3 linked regions of the Diceros bicornis minor genome follow. The protein of the gene in region 2 interacts with the protein of the main gene of each other region in a biochemical or structural test. Links are inferred from orthologs where the notes say so. Each region holds a gene or a part of one and is shown on either strand. Other genes may lie near its edges.

What was found. The genes of interacting proteins can lie anywhere in the genome.
Region 1: of the proteins of IRAK1 (region 2) and IRAK4, one has a biochemical effect on the other in vitro, tested with the Homo sapiens proteins (2 studies listed by BioGRID). The link is inferred for Diceros bicornis minor from reciprocal best matches to the Homo sapiens genes IRAK1 and IRAK4.
Region 3: the proteins of IRAK1 (region 2) and IRF7 form a complex in vitro, tested with the Homo sapiens proteins (2 studies listed by BioGRID, with this or other methods). The link is inferred for Diceros bicornis minor from reciprocal best matches to the Homo sapiens genes IRAK1 and IRF7.

What each region holds. Positions count from the first base shown.
Region 1 is NC_080756.1:25,385,922-25,393,125, forward strand, and holds the start of IRAK4 (interleukin-1 receptor-associated kinase 4), read right to left. Parts: upstream 3,044-7,204; 5' UTR 2,958-3,043; intron 2,925-2,957; exon of another isoform or gene 2,807-2,924; intron 676-2,806; 5' UTR 627-675; intron 1-626. Other genes in the region: pseudouridylate synthase PUS7L, read left to right, coding at 3,307-3,314, 6,473-7,204.
Region 2 is NC_080781.1:138,094,257-138,101,814, forward strand, and holds the start of IRAK1 (interleukin-1 receptor-associated kinase 1), read right to left. Parts: upstream 3,007-7,558; 5' UTR 2,990-3,006; coding exon 2,854-2,989; intron 2,772-2,853; coding exon 2,604-2,771; intron 2,497-2,603; coding exon 2,365-2,496; intron 2,247-2,364; coding exon 2,143-2,246; intron 1,965-2,142; coding exon 1,776-1,964; intron 1,544-1,775; coding exon 1,479-1,543; intron 1,251-1,478; coding exon 1,136-1,250; intron 363-1,135; coding exon 244-362; intron 1-243.
Region 3 is NC_080770.1:1,366,420-1,373,572, reverse strand, and holds the start of IRF7 (interferon regulatory factor 7), read right to left. Parts: upstream 3,044-7,153; 5' UTR 2,958-3,043; intron 2,935-2,957; exon of another isoform or gene 2,686-2,934; 5' UTR 2,402-2,685; coding exon 2,382-2,401; intron 2,294-2,381; coding exon 2,131-2,293; intron 2,043-2,130; coding exon 1,841-2,042; intron 1,535-1,840; coding exon 1,476-1,534; intron 1,383-1,475; coding exon 1,166-1,382; intron 1,031-1,165; coding exon 941-1,030; intron 723-940; coding exon 333-722; intron 247-332; coding exon 128-246; intron 57-127; coding exon 1-56. Other genes in the region: CDHR5 (cadherin-related family member 5), read right to left, coding at 4,305-4,739, 5,254-5,462, 6,020-6,337, 6,435-6,525, 6,603-6,716, 6,821-7,021, 7,122-7,153.

The DNA.
Region 1 (7,204 bases), on a different chromosome or scaffold from region 2:
ATTTAAAATCTTACTTTAAACATACATTCATATATTACCACCAACACATATTTGGAAGAACATACACCAAAATATTAACCGTGGTTATCTCTTGATAGTGATTTTTATGGTGGTTTTGTTTTCATTTGCTTTTTTGCATTTTCAATAATGAAAATAAATTATTTGTGTAGAAAAAACATAAAAAGTGTCACCTCTTTCAAAGTGTTCAAAATTTTACTTTAGTGCACTTAGGATTAATAGAAGTGGAACAGGATCTATTGCTTACAAATAAACAAATAAAAATCTCCATGACTGTTTTCTCATACCATTAATTCTCATAGTAGACAAAACCACTGATATTTTCAAAGACAACTCAGAGAAGAATATAAGGTAAGGTAATAATTGAGAAATATACTTAAACCAGTGTCTGCTTGTAGAACCCAGCACCTTCCCACTCATATGCATGTTCTCAAAGTACTGTGCCCAAAATAGGAATTCAAAAAATTCTATTCAAGTAAATTAACACATTTTTAAGATTGTGCTTCATTATCACTCTGATCAGAGGAAGAGAGTGTACAGGGGTGCAGGGGAGATGGACTTTGAGGTTGCACGGGACTGCATGCTAATACATCTCTTTCACAAACTACCTGTGACCACGGTCAATGATTCAGTATCTCCGGACCTTGGTTTCTTCATCTGAAAAAGAGAGATGGTAACAGCTAAGAGGTGCTGTAAGATTTAAAATCAACAAACTGGAAGGGCCTAATCCTGTCCACAATAGGTGATCAAAATAAAATGTAGCGATGATTATTCTATGGCAGAAGTTATTCTTAAGTCACATTTTAAAAACAGAAACGTGCAGAGTTGTATTTAAGCTCAATTTTCAGAATAGTGGTGAGGGGCTACTGAGAAAGTGGAAATAAGAGGTCTGAGACTATAGCTAAGCGTTTCAGATATTGGGAGTCTTACTTTATAGAGCATAATATGTTCAATACGTCTACAACCTCCCTAAAATACCTTATTCACTCTGATGCTTTCTTAAGCAAAATATGCTGGAAAACCATTAATCTTTATTTTTGGACAACTCAACATCATCACTATGAAGAAAAGCTGGTGATATCTTCCAGATCTATTAAATTATATAGGGCTGCCCCTCTCAAATGGGGATACGAGCTGGTATGCCATAAATTAAACAAAACACATCACTCTTAGACATTGATTTAACTCAATGGCAAGTAATTTAAAATGCTTTGGATATATTAAAGAATATTATTCATTCATCAAATATTTACTGGGTTTCTGCTTTGTGCCAAATATTGATCCCTGGAGATAAAGCGTTAGGAAAATAAGAAAAAAAATAACTGAACTCATAGAGCTTATATTCTAATAGAGAAAGAGAGGCAATAAACAAATAAATTCCATAGTATGTTAGATGGTGCCACCTGGAATGGAAAAAAAATAAACAGAAAAGGGGGTTTCAGTTTTAAATAGGGTAGTCAGAGTAGGACTCAATAAGAAGGTGTCATTTGATTAAAAGTTTGAGGGATGAGAAAGCCAGCCACTGGGATATCTGTGGGAAAAGTTTCTGGGCAAAAGAAACAGTAAATGCAAGGGTCTGAAGTGGGCCCATTGAGAAACAGCAAAGAGACAGTAAGACTGGAGAGGAGGGAGCAGAAAAGTAGCAGATAAGATGAGAGGTAATGGGGCCAGGTATACTAAGTCTTTATAACCTTTGTATTGACTTTGTTTATGAGTGAGATGTTGAAGAGTGAGATGAGATGAGATGAGGTGAGATGAGATGAGATGAGAAGACAGTGGAGGTTTCGAGAAGAGGAGACACATGCTCTATACTTATGTCTTAAAAAGACACTGGGGCTGCTGCAGAGAATAGTGGATATTGGAGGAAGGGCAGAGAAGCAGGAAGAGCGACCAACTAGCAGAGCACACCAATAATCCAGGCAGGAGGTGCTGGCGGCTTGGACCAGAGAAGGCGCCAAGTCCTAGGATGCTGGATATTTTCTGAGGTAGAGCAAATAGAATCCTATGTGCTGATGTGAAGAGTGAGGAGATGGCACTAAAGTTTTTGGTCTGAACAAGTTTCCTGACATTTACTGAGATGGAGAAGACTATGGAAGGAGTAAGTTTGGCCTGGAAGATCAGGAGCTCGGTTTGGACAGGTAGAACCAAACTTCAAAAGAATGCTTAGCATGCAAACAGGAGAATAAAAGAAATAGGAACTTTCTGACAGATCTCTTCAAGGATTATCCCCAGAAAGAGAAAAGGCAGATTTCAATACTCTCTGCTCTCAGGGCTCCTTGGGCACATACGTTTTTGAGGCACTAACAGAACTATTTGTTCCCATTCTAAATGGCTAAAATGCTTTCTCCCTTTCTCAAGGTCTGCTTTTCATCCCTTTGTTTCTTCTCTTGCTTCCAGGCTGTCAGATAGACTTTCCCCTCTGATAATGCATTTATCTAATCCTTACACCCCCTCTCCACTTTCTAATTTCCTCGAAGCTTGGAAGCCGGAGAACAAGCTAATTAGAGTCTCGTGGAGGATCAGAATGCTTTCCACGCCGCATCTCTGCCGGCTGCTGGCCTCACTTCCTGGTTCTCAGGAAAAGAGATTTCATTTCGTAAACGGGTTCTCGGAACACACCGCCTGGGAGTTGAGAAACTTGAGGCGAGGTCCGATGGGGCTGGCTGGACCGACGGCTGGGGGACGCCTCCCCATGCCCCAGCTTCCTCCGCAGGTCCCACTCACTTTCTGATCCCCAGGCACCCACCCAAGTCTTTATCCCGGGGCAAGCTCTGCCCACGCCACCTACTTCCTCTCGAACTTCTCTCCCTTTGAAGATAAGAAGGCGATTTTCCTTCCGGGACGGTCCCTCAATAACCCTGGGGCAGAGGGACGGAGGCCGGGGCGCGGACCTCGGACCACCCGCGGTGAAGGCGGCGCGCACGGCCGGAATCCCTCACCTGTCCAGGGGCGAGGCACGGGGGGCGGGCGGGGCGCCGCCGGGAGAAGCCAGCCGCTGAGGCACCAGCGCACGGGGAAGGGCCGGACAGGGGCGTGGCCAGCCCTCAGGCCCCGCCCCCGCCCCGCCTTCCTCTTCCTCTTTGCGCCTCCAGGCGGCTCCACAATGTGAAAAATACCAGGTCTCGCGTGAGGCGTTTCTTTAAGTGGGAGCCTGCCCCTTTAAATACGCCTCGGTCGGAGGCCAACTAGTTTAAGGCTTCCGGGCATGCGCACAGCGTTGTGCAGAGGAATGTCTTCACCTGGACGTGAGGTAGACCGAGTTGAGCTTCTTGCGCGCTGTGGGGTTTGATGACAAGGTTGGCATTGGGACCCCGACCCTATGCCCCCAGAAGGAGGGCGACGTGGGCTAGTATCGCGCCTTGGGACAGGCGGGGCGTGGGGCCGGGAGAAGAAGCAAGTGGCGCTGCTGGCGGTCGGTGTCTGGGGGTGCTTGTGGACGCGCCAGAAGGCAGCGCCGCGGGAGACGGGTTCCGCGGACTGATGGCAGAAATAGGGAGTAGTAGGAGTGAGTTCGGCGGAGCATTGGTGAAGGAAGAGCATGAGGGCAAAGGCGCCCCCTTCCTCCATTTCTAACATCTTCCCAGAATTTGTCCTCAACCAACAATTGGCTGTCCTTGGGTCAGCCAAACTACGCTCCCGCTCTCCGTCCTATCCCCTCATCAACGAATCTGTTGCTTAGGAACACGGCACTTTCATGCTTAACTCCACGTGGGTCCCTTGGCGGCCCTCCAGCTCGGTCCCACTCGCACTAAGATGTTTGGTTGTAATTCCCTCGTCGTTGCTTCCTCCCCAAGTTGTTCTACGTATTCCACCAGCTTAGAATGTCTTTATATCGCCTCCTTTTTGGGGAAAGAGTAGCTCATTATTCTTTCCAAGGCCAATCTTACAACTATGCTTTTGATCACATTGCTTTGCAGCTCCTCTGACTCTTCATGACGTTCATCCTGCTCAGTGCCATCAAGTCATCTTACTAAAACATCTTTTTGGATTGTGTCATCTTCCTACTGGAACACCTCCAGTGGCCATCCATTGACCACTCAACGAATTCTGTCTTTGACTGGGCATTCAGTGTCTTACATAGTTTGGCACTAATCCAGCTGTATTTTCCAGAACTGTACTAGAAAACTTTTTCTCCTACTGCTGTGCATCTGGGCTGTTCAGTTTTCTCTAACACATTGCATATTTGGTTTGTACGTTACTTATGATATGACTCTACCTCATTTCTATTTCTTGAACCGTTTTCTGGACTTAGATGGCCTCTTCTTGCATTACGCTTTTCCTGATTATCATAGGCAAAAGTGATCCCTTCTTCCTCTTCACCATTACAGCTCTTATGTTGTACTAGTTGTGTCATTTATTCAACAATCACTATTGATTGTGAGCCTGCTATGTGCTTGACACTGTTCTAAATGTGAGATAATCAGTGAATAAGGCAGACAAGATTCTTGCTGTTGTGGAGCTAACGTTGTAGCTGGGAGAGATATACAATAAATAATGAGGAAAATTATTAGATAGAAATACTATGCAGAAAATTAAATAGGGTTTTGTGAAAGAGAGTGACTTGCTGGTTCCTTTAGATTATTGGTCAGGGAAGACCTCTCTGAGGATGTGATTGGGGAAGGACCGATTTAATCATCAGGAACAGTTAACACAAAGGAACTGAAGAAGACCAGTGTAGCTGGAGTGTAGTGGGTAATGGGAACGAGTACAAGATAAATTTGGGGAACAAAGTCCAGAATCTTAGAAGTCTTTGGAAGCCAAGGTAAGTAATTTGGATTTTATTATAAACGTAATTAGAGAGTTTTAAACACAGTTATGATATGATTTAGTTTACCTTTTAAATCATCATTCTGGCTGCTAAGTGGAGAATGGACTATAGTGGACTAGTGCTAGAAGCAGAGGTTAGAGGCCTTCACAATATTTCAGAAATTCTGGAAGTACTAAAGTAGAGTGATGAAAGCACAGCAGGAGTAATCTGAGAGCCAGACTGATGCTTCAAGTTGATGTAGTTTTTAGTGATGAGAAAATCAAACTATGACCAAGGTGAAGTGGAAGCGGGTTGAGGTTGAGATTGAGGAACTGAGGGAGCACAGTGTTAAATGGATGATCCATATGGATGGTCATGGAAGTCATGCTGAATAGGAAAGCAGTGAACCAGGTGTTAAAATCATCAGTGAATGAAGAAGAGTCATCCAGGGACCAGAGAAGGAATGACAGCAGATGGTAGGGCCTGATGGCATGAACTTCAAAGGAACTGAGATTTTGGGAGGTAGAGAAGGAAGAAATGGTTTGGAAGAAGCAGTGGCAGATATAGAAAATATTTGCAACCTCCAGGTCCTAAGTTTGGTGAGTGTGAAAGGAAAAATAGCCTTTGCTTGAGAGGACTGCAGAAGAGGCAGCCTGGGGAAATAGCCAGATTTCAATTAGGGCAAGAAACTGAGGAGACTGTAAGGGAAATTAAGGAATGAAGGAAAACAATATATCCTTATATATTCTTTAGGACAGTAGGATATGGAAAATTTGCTGTGATTTCTACATGGTATAATAGAAAGGATAGAGGTGGGTTTGCTAAATTGGTTCAGATTGGTAGAATACACTGTAGAAATGGGATGAAGGTCCAGATGATAATAACCTGCAGAGTGTGGTTAACACAAAGAACTGAGTAGTATGGGGCCCCTGGTCATTTTATCTTTCCTGTAGCTTCGTCTGGTGTGGTAGCCATGGGTTATGCAAAGAATGAGTGAAAGCTTCCTCAGAGGATTATTCTCTTGTCTACTGCTTCGCCAAGATCTGTAAGGGTTTCTTCTCTCTGATGCCAGTGATATGATTGGAATTTTCCTTTGGGTCAACCTCAAAAGATTGTATCTGTGAAAGTTTGTAACTGGGCTTTCAAGGAGGCTGAAGGTCCAGGATTAACTTAAGCCCACCTTGAAGCATATTTGTATTACCAGTTGGTATTTACAACTTCGTTTATATATCAGTTTGGACTATTTCTTCCTGTCTTCTCCTCATCCCTTCTCCCATCCCTAACCCCTAATATATAAAAATCTAGCCACAAATTCTCTGGAATTAGCTGCGAATTTTAAGTTTCAGAAGTGGTGTTTAGACAAATCCTTGTAAACAGTCCTGTGTTCTAGTCTCTTCTTTGTGGGCCTACAAATGGTATTTTTAATGTAAACTTGAAACATTTTAATCCTGCATAATAGATGGGAGCCTTGAGCGGGTAGAGTCAAGTTGCAAATCACCAGTTATACCAGAAAAAAATTTGCCTGTTAATTCATCTTGGTACAGGATAGTCAAAATACACATGATATATTAAATTATTAATGTCTTTTAAGGGGTCTCAGAATTGATGGGGAGGAAGAGAATTAGATAAATCCTGCAAATTTGTTTCTTTTTTGTTATCCACAACTTTTCTGTCTGGTAACTGACCGCCTCTCTGTTTCTTTTGTAGGCGTTGTTATTTAAGAATGGAAGAGGATATAGATTTTAGAATCAGGTTTAGTTCTTTGTGTTTCATTACTGATCATGTTGGCTTTCGTGGCACTATAAAAAGCTCACCAAGTGACTTCGTTGTCATTGAGATTGATGAACAAGGACAGTTAGTTAATAAGGCCACTGATGAACCTGTTTACAAGATTAGTAAAGTGCCACCTGAGTCAAATAATTTTGCGAAAAAATCAAAACTAGATCTTCAAAATTTATCCTTTGAAGAGGGAAGCAGTCAAGAAGTTGATACTTTAGCTGGGTGCTCCGATGATGACCAGAATCATCAGTCTAGTTCGGAAAAGGAAGATACTATCAAGGATGGAGCTTCCAAAGATGAAGAAGAAAAAGTTGATGTAATAAGCTCCTTGTTAGATGAAAAAACTAATGAATTACTGAATCAGTTTGCCTGTGATACAAAAGAGAAGTGGAATTCTAAAACTGAGCTAATTGGACCGTCTCCTGAATTCTCATTAGGCAGAATCCTTGACAAAAACCAGAGGGCTATTTTGCATAGTGCTATTAGGCAGAAGTTTCCTTTCTTAATAACTGTAGGAAAAAACAGTGAAATTGTTGTAAAACCAAATCTTGAATATGAAGAACTCTGTCACTTGGTATCCGAAGAAGAAGCATTTGGCTTTTTTAAATATTTGGATGCAAAGAAAGAAAATTCCAAATTTACCTTTAAACCTGATACAAA
Region 2 (7,558 bases):
GTACTCAGTGACCTGGGGCCCCCAACTCTGATGTCCCCCACCTCAGCCTCGAGCAGGAGAGGGTAGGCCTATTCTCATGGGGGTCACTCAGGACGGGGCTCCTTGGGACCAGACACCAGGCCTTGGCAAACAGGCGCCTCTGCTCCCTGCCGGCAGAAGGTTTGGGAACATCATCCCCTTGCCGTAGACTCTGCTCCTGCAGTTCTCAGGGGCCCCAGGGGCCTGGCTATGGCCCCTCCTCACCTCTTGACGTCTCCATGGATGAGGCTGGGGCTGTCCTGATGTAAAAACTGAATTGCCCGAGCCGTGCCCAGAAGGATGTCCAGTCGCTGAGGCCAGGAGAGAGGGGGGCAGGCCTGGGTCTGGAGTGGCAGAGGGAGCAAGGGGCACAGGGGAGGCTGGGGGGCCACCGTTCCTTGACCCCCAACCCTCCCTCTACCTGTCACCACGGGGTCTGGACAAGCCACTTCACTCTCTTGGCCTCAGTTTCCCCTTCTGGAAAATGAGGAATAAAATCTCCATGAGCTACTTCATAAGAGGGTCGAGACTGAGCCATTCTGATGCTTTGTAAAGCATGCCGAGGGAATGTACTTTCAGGAGCCATCACAGAATTTGGCAGTCCTGAATTCCTGGAGTCCATTCATTGGTCCCGGGGCGATCAGGATGTCATGGGAGGCTTTCTCCCCACCTCCCCCAACACAGTGTGCTTATCCTGAGCGCTTAAACACGAGGGCAAGGACGCTCTTGCCCCGTGTCTTGTGCACGCTTCAATAGACAGGGCCCAGTTGCTGCTGCCCACTGGCCCCTTTTCTCCAAGGCGATGATGACAAGAGCCTCCAGCTACTCTGCTTGCAAAGGGGAGAAGTTGTTGGAGTCAGGCTACTCTGAGTCAATAACCCCCTTTTTAGAGGCACCATGGCCCTGCCTCTTGGGCACGCAGGAACAGCAAGGGAGAGGCCATGGGAAAGAGTTCCAGGGAAAACAGTGACCCACTTGGGCCAAACCCTGAGCCCAGGCCCTGCCTGTTGGTGGGACCTACTCACACAGGCTGAAAGCCCAGTCCCCGTGCCCTGCTTCGCCTAGGTGCCAAGAGTGCTGTGGGTCCAGGGAAGCGTGCCACGCCAGGTAAGGCTACCTGGAAGTGGAGGCGGTCTTCCAGGGAGCCGTTGGGCAGGAAGCCATAGACAAGGCAGTAGAAGCCACTCTGAGCACAGTAGCCAGCAAAGTCAACGATGTTTGGGTGACGAAACCTGCTTGAAAAAGTGGGGCCTGAGCCCTCTGGCGCCCAGCCTCCACCACACCTTCCATTTGGCCATTGTGGGGGTGGGTAGTCCCTGGTGGTTCCTCAGCTAGGCTGGGTGTGGCAGGCTTTGGGGGCCTGAGGGAGCCAGGTCCTGTGGTGTGTGGTCCTGGATGCCAGTGGGGCCCTGGTGTGGCTCTCCCTCTGCCCCCAGCCAGGAAGGATGCCCCAGGCTCACCGTGACAGCTGCTCTACTTCGGTCAGGAAGCTCTGCTTCACGGTGGTCCACTCCAGGTCTGCCTCCTGCAGCCCCCAGGGAAAACCGTAGGGGAGCGGCATGAGACTCTCACAGCCAAGGATTGATGGCCACACCCACGGCCATCTGTCCTGGGCCCAGAACAACCAAGGGACTGGGGACCCTGACCCGGGGAATCAAAGGGCTGAAGGAGCTGCATGGGGAAGCAGTGGGGGAGGACCAGAAAAGTGTGGGTCTGTTGCTGGCCCTCCAGGGCCTTTGTTGAGATGCTCCACCCACCTCCTTCAGCCTCTTCACAGCGTACACCGTGTTCCTCATCACAGCCCGGTACACACACCCAAAGCCACCCTCCCCGATCTTCAGCTCTTCTGAGAAGTTGTGAGTGCCCTGGGAAATCTCATGGAGGGGCCAGCAGAACGGAGAGGGGTGGGCCCCCTGCAGGAGGAACACCTGGCTGTCTGGGCTCGGCTGTGGGAAGAGACTCCAGATCAGGTGAGGACCTGTCTCCTCCCCTGGGTCCCTGCCACAAGCAACCCCACCCCCTCGCCAGCTGCCTCAGCTGGGCTGGTTGGGGATCCTAGATGTACCAAAGGCTAGGTTTCTTGCTCCTTCTCTGGAACCTTTCCCAGGGGCAGGACCCACCTACCTTGGTAGAGGAAGGGGCTGGAGATGGTGGTGGTGGCCGGAGGGCAGCAGGGCTTGGGACAGGGCCAAGTTCAGACCCAGAATGGGTCTGGGAGCCTGGAAAAGCTTCATAAAGACACCAGTGAGTGGCAGGCAGAGACCGGTGGCAGAGTGTTCAGCCGTGGCCATGGTCAAGGTGGCCATTTCCTCAGGTCCATCAAGCCCAACACCCGGGCCCTCTTACCTGGGGAGGGGAGGGTGGAGGCTGACGACTGCAACTTCCGGGGGCTGGGAGCCTCAGCCTCAGAGGGTGCAGCGATGCTGCTGGGCTTCAGGGCGGTGGTGCTGGGGGGCAGGTGGGGGGCGGGAGGGTGCCCTGGGACGCCAAGGAAGGAAAGGACGGTTAGGCCCAGGCGGGGGGAGGAGCCCCATGGGAGGCCCAGGGCGGCCCTCAGCCAGGGGGTCCCGGTGCTGCGTGCTCACAGGCCGTGATGATGTCCCGAGCCCGGAGCAACTGCAGGTGCGTGAGGATGCGCACGAGGTCGGCCACGCGGGCGTTGCGGTTGATCCAGGGCCACAGGACGCTGGCCGTGCGCTGCTCGGAGCGCTCACACAGCCGCAGCTCGGTCTGGTCGCGCACGATCAGGGCGGCTGCGGGGTGGGGGGCGTCAGGCCTGGGGGCCCGGGGCCCGAGCGCCCCCCGTCCCGCCCTCGCCGGCCCGCCGCCACCCACCGAACTGGCACCAGTCGGCGGGCTCCAGGGCGTCCATCACTTTGTAGAAGCGGCACATGACCCAGGGCGGCACCTCGTACAAGAAGTGCTGGCCGCCGGGGACCGCGGGGTCCCCTGGGCCCGGCCCCCCGGCCATGGCCGCCGCCGCCGGGCCAGGGCCTCTTGGGGCCTCTCGGGGCGGCGGCGGGCGCGGGCCTCGGCCCCGGTCCGCGGACACTGACTCACTTCCCCTTTAAGCCGGCCTCGTGCGACGCCCGGCGAGGCGGAAGGGGCGGTGCCCGGGCCCGCCGCCATCTTGTCCGCCGCGGCCGCGGCCGCCGCGAGCCTCGGCCACACGGGGGCGCCGCGCGCTGTCCCTCCCCGAGAAGGCAGCGCCGCTGGGCCCGGCGAGGCGGGCGCGGCGGGCTTCCAGGAGGAGGGCCCGTCCGAGTGGGGCTCTGAGGCATGGAGGAAAGCCGTTCCCAGCCCTGAGGACAAAGGGCACGGCCAAGGCACGGGACGTTCCCGAAAGGGCTAGAGCCGGGCCTTGTGAGAGTCGCTGGGAGGTCCCCTTAAGAAGTTTTGGCTTTCTTTGGGAGGCAGTGGAGAGTCGTCAGAGAGCCAGGCAGGACGGGGTCAGATGTGGGTCCCACAAAGGCCCCCGGCCGACTCCCGTCAGCTGGCTGTCAGGCTGGGTGCAGGGAGAATGGTCTGGAAGCTTGTACAGCAGGCCACCCCCGCTCAGAGGATTTCTGCCCACCTCCTGAGCCCTGGATCCCATCTTTTCCTCTCCTTCAGGAACCTGCTCCAGCAATTGTTAGCTCTTTGCAGTATCTGTCACTTTTCCTTCTTTGCTGGCTCCTTCCCACTAGCACATAAAACGTATTCATCTCTCTTAAAAACGGGCCTTCAGCTCCTGCTGTCCCTCCTCCCTCTTGTTGTCATACTTCTGGCTCAGTTTGCACGGGACCCTGTGAGGACAGCAGAGGCCGGCCTCTTCCTCCCTCTTTTCTGAAGCAGTCACCAGGCACCAAACTCAGTTCCCAGCCTGTTCCACATCTTCCTCCATTTCTCTCTTGCCCATTCCCACAGTGCTCCGCAGCCATTGATTTCTTCAGATTTTCTGGCACTCCTCCATTCCCCGGCCCCACATCAGCAGCCACTATTTGCCTGTCATCTCCCTGAACATCTCTGGAGTCCATCTCTTCCCCACAGGCCCGCTGCTCTCACTACTACCACTTACCTGGATGAAACTGCTGGCTTCCTGATGCTTCCCTGCCTTGTCTGCCTGGGTGGTCTTCCTCAGGGACAAATCAAGCTACATGACTTTCCTGCTCAAGACCTTCCTGTGGTTCCCAAAGGCCTCCGGTGGGGTCCCAGCTCTTTAGTGCAGACTCCATGCCGTCAGAATTTGGCCACTGCCCACCCATGTCATGTCTAGCTCTCTGCACACGTCAGCAGCCTTAAGCCATCTAGAACTCATTAGGGTTCCACAGATGTGCCAGTGCTCCCACATCCAGGAGTTTGCACGTGCAGTTTCCTGGCCCTCATGTGACAAGGTTGAGCTCAAACAGCTCCCCAGGTGTAAGCCAGGGTGAAAATTCCCTGGGCCCCTCTGGCATCTCTCATGCATCCTTCTTGAGCCTGTGCACTTGCCTGCCTCCCCCACTACACAGGGGAAGACCCCAGAAGTAGATTCTCCAGCTGGATGCATGCTTGCAGGGCAACAGGTCACCTTCCCTGATGGCCCCCCCTTGCCCTCTCAATTCTGACCCCAAAGGGTTCCCCCCTAAGCTGTTCTCCCTGGGACTTAGGGGAGTTTCTGGAAACTGGGTCTGCCTAAGACAGGCCTCCATTGGAGCCTCTTCCCAGAAGTCACAGCCACTGCTGGCCACTCCCAAAGAGGAGGCCAGCCATGCCCTAAGCCTCAGTGGCTTATCGCAGGGACAGCCCTTACTGAGACTACCAACCCGGGTATGGGAAGTTATCATGCATGTACATACTAAGCTCCAAGAAAACAAGAGACTTGGTCCTACTTGCTCACTGCTGGACTGCAGCTCCCAGGACAGGCCTGACACACAAGAGATGCTCAATACACACAGGTCGAATTTCAACCCTTTGTTTTAATGTTCAAGGCCAGGACTTTCAAGTGCACCTTCTAGTAGGTGTGTCCACATTTGCATGTGAAGCTGGACTCTGAGCAGTTGTCACCCCCTCCAGCCCAGCAACAGCCTGGTGAGGATGGCTGTGGCGGGACAGGCAGCTCCTGAGAGCCCAGAGCCTTGCGGGAAGCCAGGGAGCGTGGGCAGGGTGTGATAAGGCCTGCAAACCCCACAATGACAATAGCGCCCCCTTTGGGCAGGGAGCCAGGTCAGCAGAGGCCATAGGAGCGTCTTGGGCGATAGGCACAAGAGGAGCTGGAGCTGGAGCTGGGGGGCGGGGCGGGTGGTGGTGGTGGTGGTTTCCAAAAGCACCTCGGCATATCCAGACATATCCAGACCGAGTAGGCACCCCTGCCATGTCCCTCAGGAACAGGGAGGTTGTGCTGCTGTGCAGAAGGCCTGCAGCCTGCCTGCCCTCTCAACCTAGGGCATGGCGGGCAGACTCGTGCCTGGCCCTTCCCGGCCTGCTGCCCCAGAACTTTCCATCACACGCAGGAGCAGTGTGCCCGGAAAGTGTGGCCTTGGAGCACCCAAGGGGAGGTGGTGCATGGAGTAGGCTGCCCTTCCCTCGCACAGCAGTCCTGAAAGCGGCTGGCTATTTGTGTTTAGGGACAGCCAGACTGAATCAGGAAACACACCACCATGCTGTCCTATGAGCTGTCTGATAATGAAAGCCCAGACCTTGAGTCACTTTCACAGAGAGATTTATCAAGAATGCTAACAGCACAGGATACAGTACTTCCCAACAAAAGGTGCAAACGCATCACTTAGAAAGGCATGCTGAGTATTCTTTGCTTTCACACGTATTAAAAAACTTACAAAAATAAAATAAAACTGCGTGCTGCCCATCTTTTCAAATAGTAAAAGAACCTTATGAAAAAAATCACTTGATTTTACAACAAAAGACACAAACGGACATTTTTATGTAAATTTATAAGGCAAACTCTTTATATAATAAATAGGTTACAGGGATTCAGTGGGGGGTGTTTTGAAACGTATACAGGTACATTCAGACAGGTTTACTGAAATGGTACAAATTTCCTTAATAAATTGCCTTTGTTTTTAAATATATCAGTGCTTTCAGTCATTTGGCTATACACAAAGAACCTTTTTTTGAACACTACAAAAAAGCAATCAATATTTTTTGTTTTTAAAACGACCTACTTATTTTCTAAAGTAATTGTCCCAAAACACAAAAACTGAAGGTGAATGCGATCAATAGAGGGCTTTTCGAGACATCTCCAGCCAAGTCTGTCCTGGGCGGCTCCCAGCGCCCCGTGCACACCTCTCCCACAGTCAGCCAGGCTTCCGGGCTGGAGCCGGCTCCCTCTGCACAGGGCGGCCTGTTGTCACTGCGACTCTGGAGGGGACAGCCACCCTGCCTGGGTCTTTCTGCTACTGAACCCCATGTACAAATGGTCACTACAGTCAGCACTGTCCTCGCCTTTCAGAGGAGGTGCCACTGGGCACTAAGGGAGCACACATTTGTCCCTGTTGCGTGAGCCCAAAACAATGTCTGGTGGGGGTAACAGCTTTTCTGAGAAGGATCTGGTTTTGGCATGGAAAGGGAAAGGGCTTTCTCACATCCAAATTTTGCTGGGGATTAGATGACAGCAAAGAGAGCGCACCTCCTCCACCGTTATCTTACTGCCCTGATGGTGGGATCAAGAGGTCACATGAGCGTTGTGCACTGCAGACAGGGTGGGATGTGATGGAGGTGTCCTAGACCGTAATGCCCACCGCCTGTCCTGTCCAGGAAGAGCTGTGTCAGGTGGAGAGTGGCCAATCTGCCCTGTCAAGATATATGTGACCTGTGGCCACAGTGGAGGCCTCCAGGGAGATGCCCACCCTTTGAGCCACATGGCTCAGGCCCACTCCATCCTCCTCCCACGGAGGCGAGGTCGGCTCTGCTCACACCCCGCCCTGGCTCCCCTTGCAGGAACCTCAACCTTGTGAGTCCTTAAAAATAGCGATGATGCTAATCATCACAGGGGTGAAAAAAAGGCAAAAGAATCCACAAGGTGGAACAAAACCTGGTTTTGCTCTGACTTTGAAAATGGTAACACATCAGCTATTCGGTCCGTCGGCTTGGGCTTCACTTCTTCTGGTGGCTTTGGGCTGATTGGGGCAGGGGTCATCTTCAGATCTCCCCTCCTGGGGAAAAAGGACAGCCCCTCTCATCTTGGTCACCATCCCCTCCCTCCGAATTCTTTTGTTTGTAAAGAAAAGGTGTCTAGAAGCATTTGTCTCTGGAACAATTACTTTAAACATGGTTACAATACAGACCAGTTCAAACACAGAAGAGATTTACTTAGCAAAGTTCCTTTCACCCACCAAAAATTACACAAATATAAGCCTCAACACCACAGTTAAGAGGACCAGTAGAGAGAACCTCAATGTTTGGAACACAAAAGGAGAAATAAAAACCAAACCAAACCCAAACAGAAAACCCCCAGAACGACAAGGGGAGGGCGAGGGAGGAGGGAGGAGAGCAAACACAGCACACGTTACAGTGTCCGGGTACACGGGAGCCCAGTGCGAGGAACGGGCTCGGCACACATTGA
Region 3 (7,153 bases), on a different chromosome or scaffold from region 2:
GACACGCCTTCACGCTGCACGCCCTCCAGGTGCGCCCGGCACAGCCACGGCTCCAGCTGTGGGGAGGGCGCCGTCAGGCCAGGCAGGGGCTGTGTGCAGCCTCGCCCACCCTGGGCCTGCACCTCACCTTCACCAGGACCAGGCTCTTCTCCTTGGGCCTCCTGGCTGACAGGTCCTGCCCAAAAGCCAGGTAGATGGTGTAGTGTGGGGAGCGCTGGCGCCGGCGAGCCCGGAACTCCACCAGCTCTGCAGGACAGGGGCTTTGTGAGTAGGGACGGGGACAGGGGCTTGGGGGACGGGGGGAGGCAGCCCAGAGCGAACGCATCACTGACCTCGAAAGAAGGTGCCGAAGTCAAAGATGGGAGTGTCGCAGTTCCTGGGCAGCAGGCGGGCCGGGGTGGAGGGACTGGCAGAGCCCAGGGGGCCACCCACCTCCCAGAAGACCTTGCACTTGCCCAGACGCCGGGCCCATAGTCCAGGCCCCCGGAGCTCCAGCTGCAGGCCAGGGGCCACGTGTTGCAGCAGCTTCTCTGTGTAGTGAAGCTGCTTCTGGTCGGGGAGCTCGGCAGGGCTGGGGAAGGCCACTTGCTGGGGCTCTGTGGCCTCCACGGATAGGCTGGGGGGCCCGTACAGGAACACACAGCTCGGGCGTCCCACCACCTCCTGCAGCACCGTTCGGCCCTTGTACATGATGGTGACATCCAGGGCCCCCAGGCTGGGTTCTGTGTGCAGAAGGAGCTGTGAGCAGTGGGGCCTGGCCGGACTCGCTCACCTGCCACTGGGGGGCAGGCACTGGGGGATGGTGCAGGGCGGGGCTCTGCTTCTTGTAGGGGCTACCAGGGCTCTGGGGCTGGGGGCTAAGCCTGCATCGGGGAGGAAGGGCTGAGTTAGCACCTGGTCCCCCAGCCCCTCCCTCCACATGTCCCCAGGCTCCTCTCACCTGTCATCTGGGCTTGGGGCTGGGGCCTGGGGCTGGGGGCCGCCTCCACTGCCCATGGCAGGTGTGGCTGCCCGGCAGGGAGCTCTGGACCTGAAGAGGATGACAGTGGGAACAGCTGTACTGGCCCAGCTGTGATCAGCACCATCCCTGCTGGACACCTCCCCCTCTTCCCAGGGACTTTGCTGTCCTGCCTGCCCTTCCCCTTGGCAGAGGACAGCCCCTCACCAGGAGCTTCTGGGGGGATCGGATCCATCCCCCATGTAGCTTCCAGCAGATGGTCTTCCAGGCTGCTCTGCTGCAGAGCCTGGAGCAAGAGGTCCTCAGCATCGCCAGCTGGGCTGGAAAGAGGGCTTAGGGCACAGGGCTCAGGACTCAGCCTGGCCAGCCCATGCCCCGGCCTCTCACCAGCATCTCCTGCCAGGCCCGGCCTGAGGAGCCCGCCCTGCAGGGGAAGGCAGTGGCAGCATAAGCAGCTTCCAGCACCAGGGAGAGGTGGCAGCCCCAGCAGGAGACAAGGAGGGCAGAGCAGCCTTACCGTGGTTGGTGGGGCATCTTCACGGGCCTCATCCTCCCCCTGGTTAACGCCTGGACCTTCTGAGGGAGAATGGGGACCTGAGACTCCGGAGTGGGACGCCTGGGTGTGAACCCCTGGGTGGCACTTTACAGCTGGACTGCGCCTCCCCTTCACTGGCCCCATCAGCTTCCTCCCTGTGATCCCCACCCCCTTCCCCAACAACCTGGCACCAGCCTCTCCCAGGCTAAATTCTAAAACTGCAGATCCGACCCAGCGGTTGTCCCCTGACAAAACCAAGTTCCAACACCCTTCGCGCCCTGAACGTCCTGCTTCCCTGCCGGCAGCCCTCCCCCGGCGTTCGGCAGCCCTCCCCCGGCGTTCCTCACCTGCCCATCCCACCTCGGGGCTGAGCGCGTACACCTTATGCGGGTCGGTGGGGTCCCCAGAGTTGTCTTGCAGCATCACAAACCGCCGCGTGCTGCGCAGTGCGCAGCGGAAGTTGGTTTTCCAGCCGGCGCGGAGGGCGTTCTCGGAGGTCGGCGGGTCACCTCCGCTCGGCGGCCACCTGCCACGGGCCACGGCCCAGGCCTGGGGAGGGGAGGGAGGGGGTGGGCCTGGGGGCGCAGGTCGGGGGCCTGGGCCAGCCCTTCTGCCCGGGGCGGGGCTGGGGTCCCACCTTAAAGATGCGAGAATCGGCTTCGCCCAGGTCCTTCCGCGAGAAGTGCTTCCAGGGGACGCGGAAGTGCGTGCGGGCCGCATCCAGCCACCGCAGCCCCTCATAGCGGCCGCTGCTGACCTCGCCCAGAAGCCAGTCTCCGAACAGCACGCGCGGGGACCCCCTGCGGGCGGAGCAGCCAGCGGGGTCGGTGGCGCGGGCGGCAAGGTGCGAGGGGACAGGCACCTGGGGAGCGTGGGCCAGGCTCTCACCTGTCGGGAGGCACGGCCATCGCTCCTGCAAGGACTGGACGTGGAGAGGCTGGGAGTGCCCTCAGCTGCGAGGGATTGTGGTCACGGGTGGCAATTAGGTGTCGTCACACTAGCGTGGCCCAGTTGTTACAGGTGATGGGGTCACAGGTGTGGGTTGAGGGCTTATAGGCCACAACGTTGCCCAGGTATGGATTTTGGGGCAAAGGTGGCGATGGGTGTGACAACAGATGCGGCGGGCGCGCACACGTGCGGTCACAGGTGTTGAGCCAGCGTCCAGGCCTGCTGGCTGGTCGCAGGCTGGACCCTGCGAAGACACGACGGAAATGGCTAGGTGGAGGTCGGCCCAGGGCGCCGGGAAACCGAAACCGCCGTCGCAGGAAAACGAAACCTAAGCCGCGAGGCGGGACGTCCGGGTGGCGGGCGCCTCCGGGTCCCCGAGCCACCCAGCCCCCTCCAGTCCCTCGTTCCGGACCCGGCTCCCCGACCTTCCCCTGGCGGCGCGTCCCTCGCTCGGCACCCCCCCGGCCACGCCCTGTGGCTGCCCCTGGAGCTCAGCGTGGGGAGAGTCCCGAGTACCTGGGTGCCGGAGCCGCCGGGCCGGGAAGTTTCGTCTCCCCGGGGGAGCGAGAACAAGCGCTTTTATGGGGCGAGCCCGGGGGACGGGCTAGGGCGGGCCGGGGGCGGGCCGGGAGTGGGGTGGGCCCTCCCAGCTCCAGGTGCTGCGAAAAAACTCATGTGGTCTGTTCCCCGAGCCCCTGTGCAGTCTCTCGGTGGGGGCGACAGGCCTCGTCTGGGGACAGCCCGAGGGGAGGGCGGGTCGCGGAGGGGCGACAGGAGTGGCCAGTCCCGCCGGCCTCCCAGGCTCAACCTCTGCGGGGACCAGTCACCCCTCTTCCTCCAGAAGCACCCCATGCACCAGGGGGACTGCGGGCTCCGGCCAGTAACGAGGGTGGGGGAGGCAGGGGGCCAAGCTGGGGACCCCGTGAACACAAAAACAAAACCTGGCCCCAAACAAAACCAAGCACTTCTTTTCATGGAAAAGCGGGTAACCGGGGCATGGAACGAGCGGCAGATGTGGCGTGTGGTGTCTTAACCATGAGAATTGCTCAGACAAGATGTAAATGCCCTCGAGAGTAAAACATTTGGAAAGGAATTCGTGATGCCTTTCATTAGGAGAAACACCGATGACTCGTGAGGGACAGTGTGGTGGCAGCGCAGAAGTCCACCCCTGAGGAAGCAGGCGGAGGGGGGCCCTGTCCCCCACTTGGTGGCCCTGGTTCCCCCACAGCCTCCGCCGTGCACCAACGGGCCGCCACCCCGCAGGCACAGTCCGGGCGCCTGGGTCGGGTGCCTCGCTCGGAGCACTTGGTGTTTACTGCCCCAGCGTACCACACTGGCACACAGGCTGTGACCCCCTGGAAGGTCCCAGGGACCATGCCCTCCCAAATGAGTCTCCTTGAGGGTGCCGCCTCAGCCTCCTCCAGGCAAGACCTCCGTGTTGAGTCGGGAGGGCGAGTACGCAGTGCGAGGTGCCCCCTCCTCTGGCCGTGGTTAGACCAGGAGAGGAACTTTCTGGCCGCCAGCTGGCACTGAGCGTGGGAAGCTGCGCCGGGCGGGCGCAGCTGGTGGTTTACGGGAAGCGGCACCCGCGCTGGGGACAGGGGGACGACACGGCCCGCCCTTCCCCGCCCCCACGACCCCCAACACCCCCCCCTACCCCCCACCCGCAGCGCGTCTTTGAGGACTCCGTGCGCGCGGGAGCCAATGGGCCGCGCCGTGACCCCCCAATCGGCGGCCACTCTGGGGCAGACCCCAGGCACCCCTCGCCCGAGATCCGAAAGTGTCATTTTATTTTTCTCAGTGCAGTGGGGGACAGCGGCCGAGTGACTCGGGGTCCAGACCCGCGGGCGGTCGGGGGTCGCGCTAGACGTAGGTGGAGTCGCCGGGCGCCTGGTCGGGGGCGCCTGCACCGGGGCCCGCGCCAGCGCCTTCATCCTCGCCGCCGCCCTCGCCGTCCGAGTCGCCCGCGCCGTCCGCCTCCGAGGTGGGCGCGTTGAGGACCACCACATCGGCCTCGGCGCCAATGTCTTCGCCGAACCACACGGCCTTGTAGCCGCCCTCGGGCCGCCGCTCCTTGGTCAGAATGGACCTCACCTCCGCGGGGCCGGCCCCGTCCTGGGCCGCCGCGGGGGACTCGGGGACGCCGGCGGAGGGCACGGGGCTGGGGGGCGCGGGCTCCGGGGGCTCGGGCGGGGCCTCGTCCGTGGTGGGGCCGGGTGTGGGGCTGGGGGCCGGCGCCCAGTTGGCCTCACGGTCTTGAATGAGGAAGGCCTTGTCAAAGCCACTGGGCTGGGGCTCCTGGGGAGGGACGGGAGGGAGCGTCATCCAGGACCCTGCCTGGGCTGCAACCCCCTGGTGCCCTCCCCAGAGACAGGGGTCTGCGCTGGTCCGTGCCCTTTTCTCTGCCTTTCCCTGCTCTTTCTCCATCTTTCCCACTATGGTGTCTACACCCCATCTCTCCTCACCTCTGCTCTCCATCTCCCCACTGATGGCTGATTCCTGGTCTCCTGCTGCCTCTCCACCTCCCCTTCTATCTCCCCCTTCTTCACCTCCCCTGCTCCCTGCATCTCCCCCCTTCCTGCATCTCCTGGCGCCTTCCATCTGCTCCTCCCTCTATCTACCCCTCTCTCCATCTACCCCTTCCCTCCATCTACCCTCTTCCTCCGTCCTCCACTCCATCTTTCCGTTGCTCTCTGTTCTCACTCTCACGTCCCTGTCTCTTGGTCTTTCTCCACCTCTGTCTGTCTATCCGTCTCCTCTTCTGTCTCTCGTCTGTCCCTCTCCTGTGCTGTCCAGCCGCCCGGGGCCTCACCAGAGCTTTGCTAGCACAGGACTTGCATAGGTGGCCGTAGTGCTTGTAGCCGAGGATGGTGAGGGCGATCAGAGCTAGCAGCAGCAGCGCGCCCAGCACACCGCCCACGGCTGCCATCTCCGCTGTCGAGAAGCGCCGGTCCCCAGCGTGGCTGCCATCCGGCCCGACACCCCCCGTGGAGGTGCTGCCTCCTCCAATCCCGGGCGTGCCTGCTGGTGACACCACTGCCCACTTGCTGTCGGCACTACAAGCGCTCACCAGCTCAGCCTGTACCAGCTCAGAACTCCCCGAGTAGAAGCCAGCCTGGCCGCCTCCCGGAGTGAGGGTTCTGGAGAGTGGGCAGTACTGACGCCCCCCCAAGGAGCTGTATTCCCAGGGTCCCCCAGGGAGGCCAGACTGCTGAAGGGAAGGAGGGGGGTGGGGGTCAGTGCCCCCCAGCCCCAGGTGGGAGGAAGGGGTCCAACACCACAGGAAGGGAGATGAGGGCAGCACTGATGCCGGTGGAGTGGACGGCCCTGGGAAGTGTGGGGTTCGCTGAAGCCAACGTGTGGCCTCTGCCCTGCCCTCCACTCACCTTTCCCGGTTTACCTCCTCAGGGCCCCCAGGACCTGTCTGTCTCTGCCCAGAAAGAGCAGACCCCGTCTTGGGATCTCATGGTCATTCTGGGCCAACCTGGGGCGGACCCTGCCCTCCGGTGACTCCCAGGACCACCCAAGTCATGAGTCAGGGAGCATGAGGGTGACTCTAGGGCAAATGGGGGTGCTACCTGAGGGCTGGGGGGTCCTGCTGAGCCCAGGGGCTGTTGGCTGCGAGATTCCTGGCTTCTGAGTCTGTGCTGAGCCCCCGCTGGGTGAGGCTGATGGAGGGGAGGTGCTGGTTCCCGCACTGGGGGGCCCCCCAGGCGTGGTCGAGGCAGGCGGCCTCAGAGTTGTGCCTGGGGGGGAGTGTGGGCCAGTGTCCCCCCCAGCGCTGGTCGTGGAGGGTCCCTGAGAGGGCCCGGAGGGCCTGGGGGTTTCTGAAGTGGTGCTGCTTGAGGGCCCAGCTGTTCCTCCAGCCTCTGGGGATGTGGAAGGACCTGGGGGGTCTGGGGCCAGGCACAGGGCTCAGCTTGCCTCTGCCCCCAGCATGCCTGTGGCAAGAAGCCCCCCCCGAGCCATCACCGGGGACCCCTGGAGGCTCACCTGTGGGGGTGGGGGTGGGCTCCTGTTCTGACACCTGTATCTCCACCAGTGTGGTCGCTGTGCCTCCAGTCGCTGTGTTCGTGGCCTCGACCTGGGGCAGGAAGGGGGCTTGTCTCACCTAGGCCCCGCCTTAACTCCCACCCCTTAGAGATGCCACAGGCCCCTCACCTCTGCGTAGAAGACCCCCGCCTGCGTCAGTGGGTTGGCCACCAGCACGGCCTCCCCTTCCATTCGGAAGTCGGAGTTGTTGGTGATTCGGTACGTGATGGCCGAGTTGAGGTCCTGGACACGGCCCCAGTGAGTCCTGGACCCAGGCTGCCCCCGTATCCCCCCAACCCACCCACAGAAGGGAGGCCAGGCAGACCCAGGGGCCAGGCGGTGCCTACTGGGAACTCGGGGTCCTGGGCCTGGATCCTCAGAGCCTGGGAGGGGGTGGCTGCGTCCTTGACGAACTCGCCGCTTCCTGAGCCCAGCACCACGGTGCCGCGGTACAGGCTCTCGGGGAAGTGGGGCAGGCTCCCAGCAGCGTCTAGGGCCTCCACTGTGACCTGGGTCACCGAGTAGCGGGCCTGGTCTGCCTGCTCCCCCTGGGGGTGGGGAGGCGGCAGTGGTCAGTGGGCCCTCGAAGGGCAACCCTGCAACCTGAAGCTCAGGAGGGGCCCATGGAGACCCGGCCAAGGCACCTACCTTGACCCACATAAGAAAGGTCTTGGGGCTGG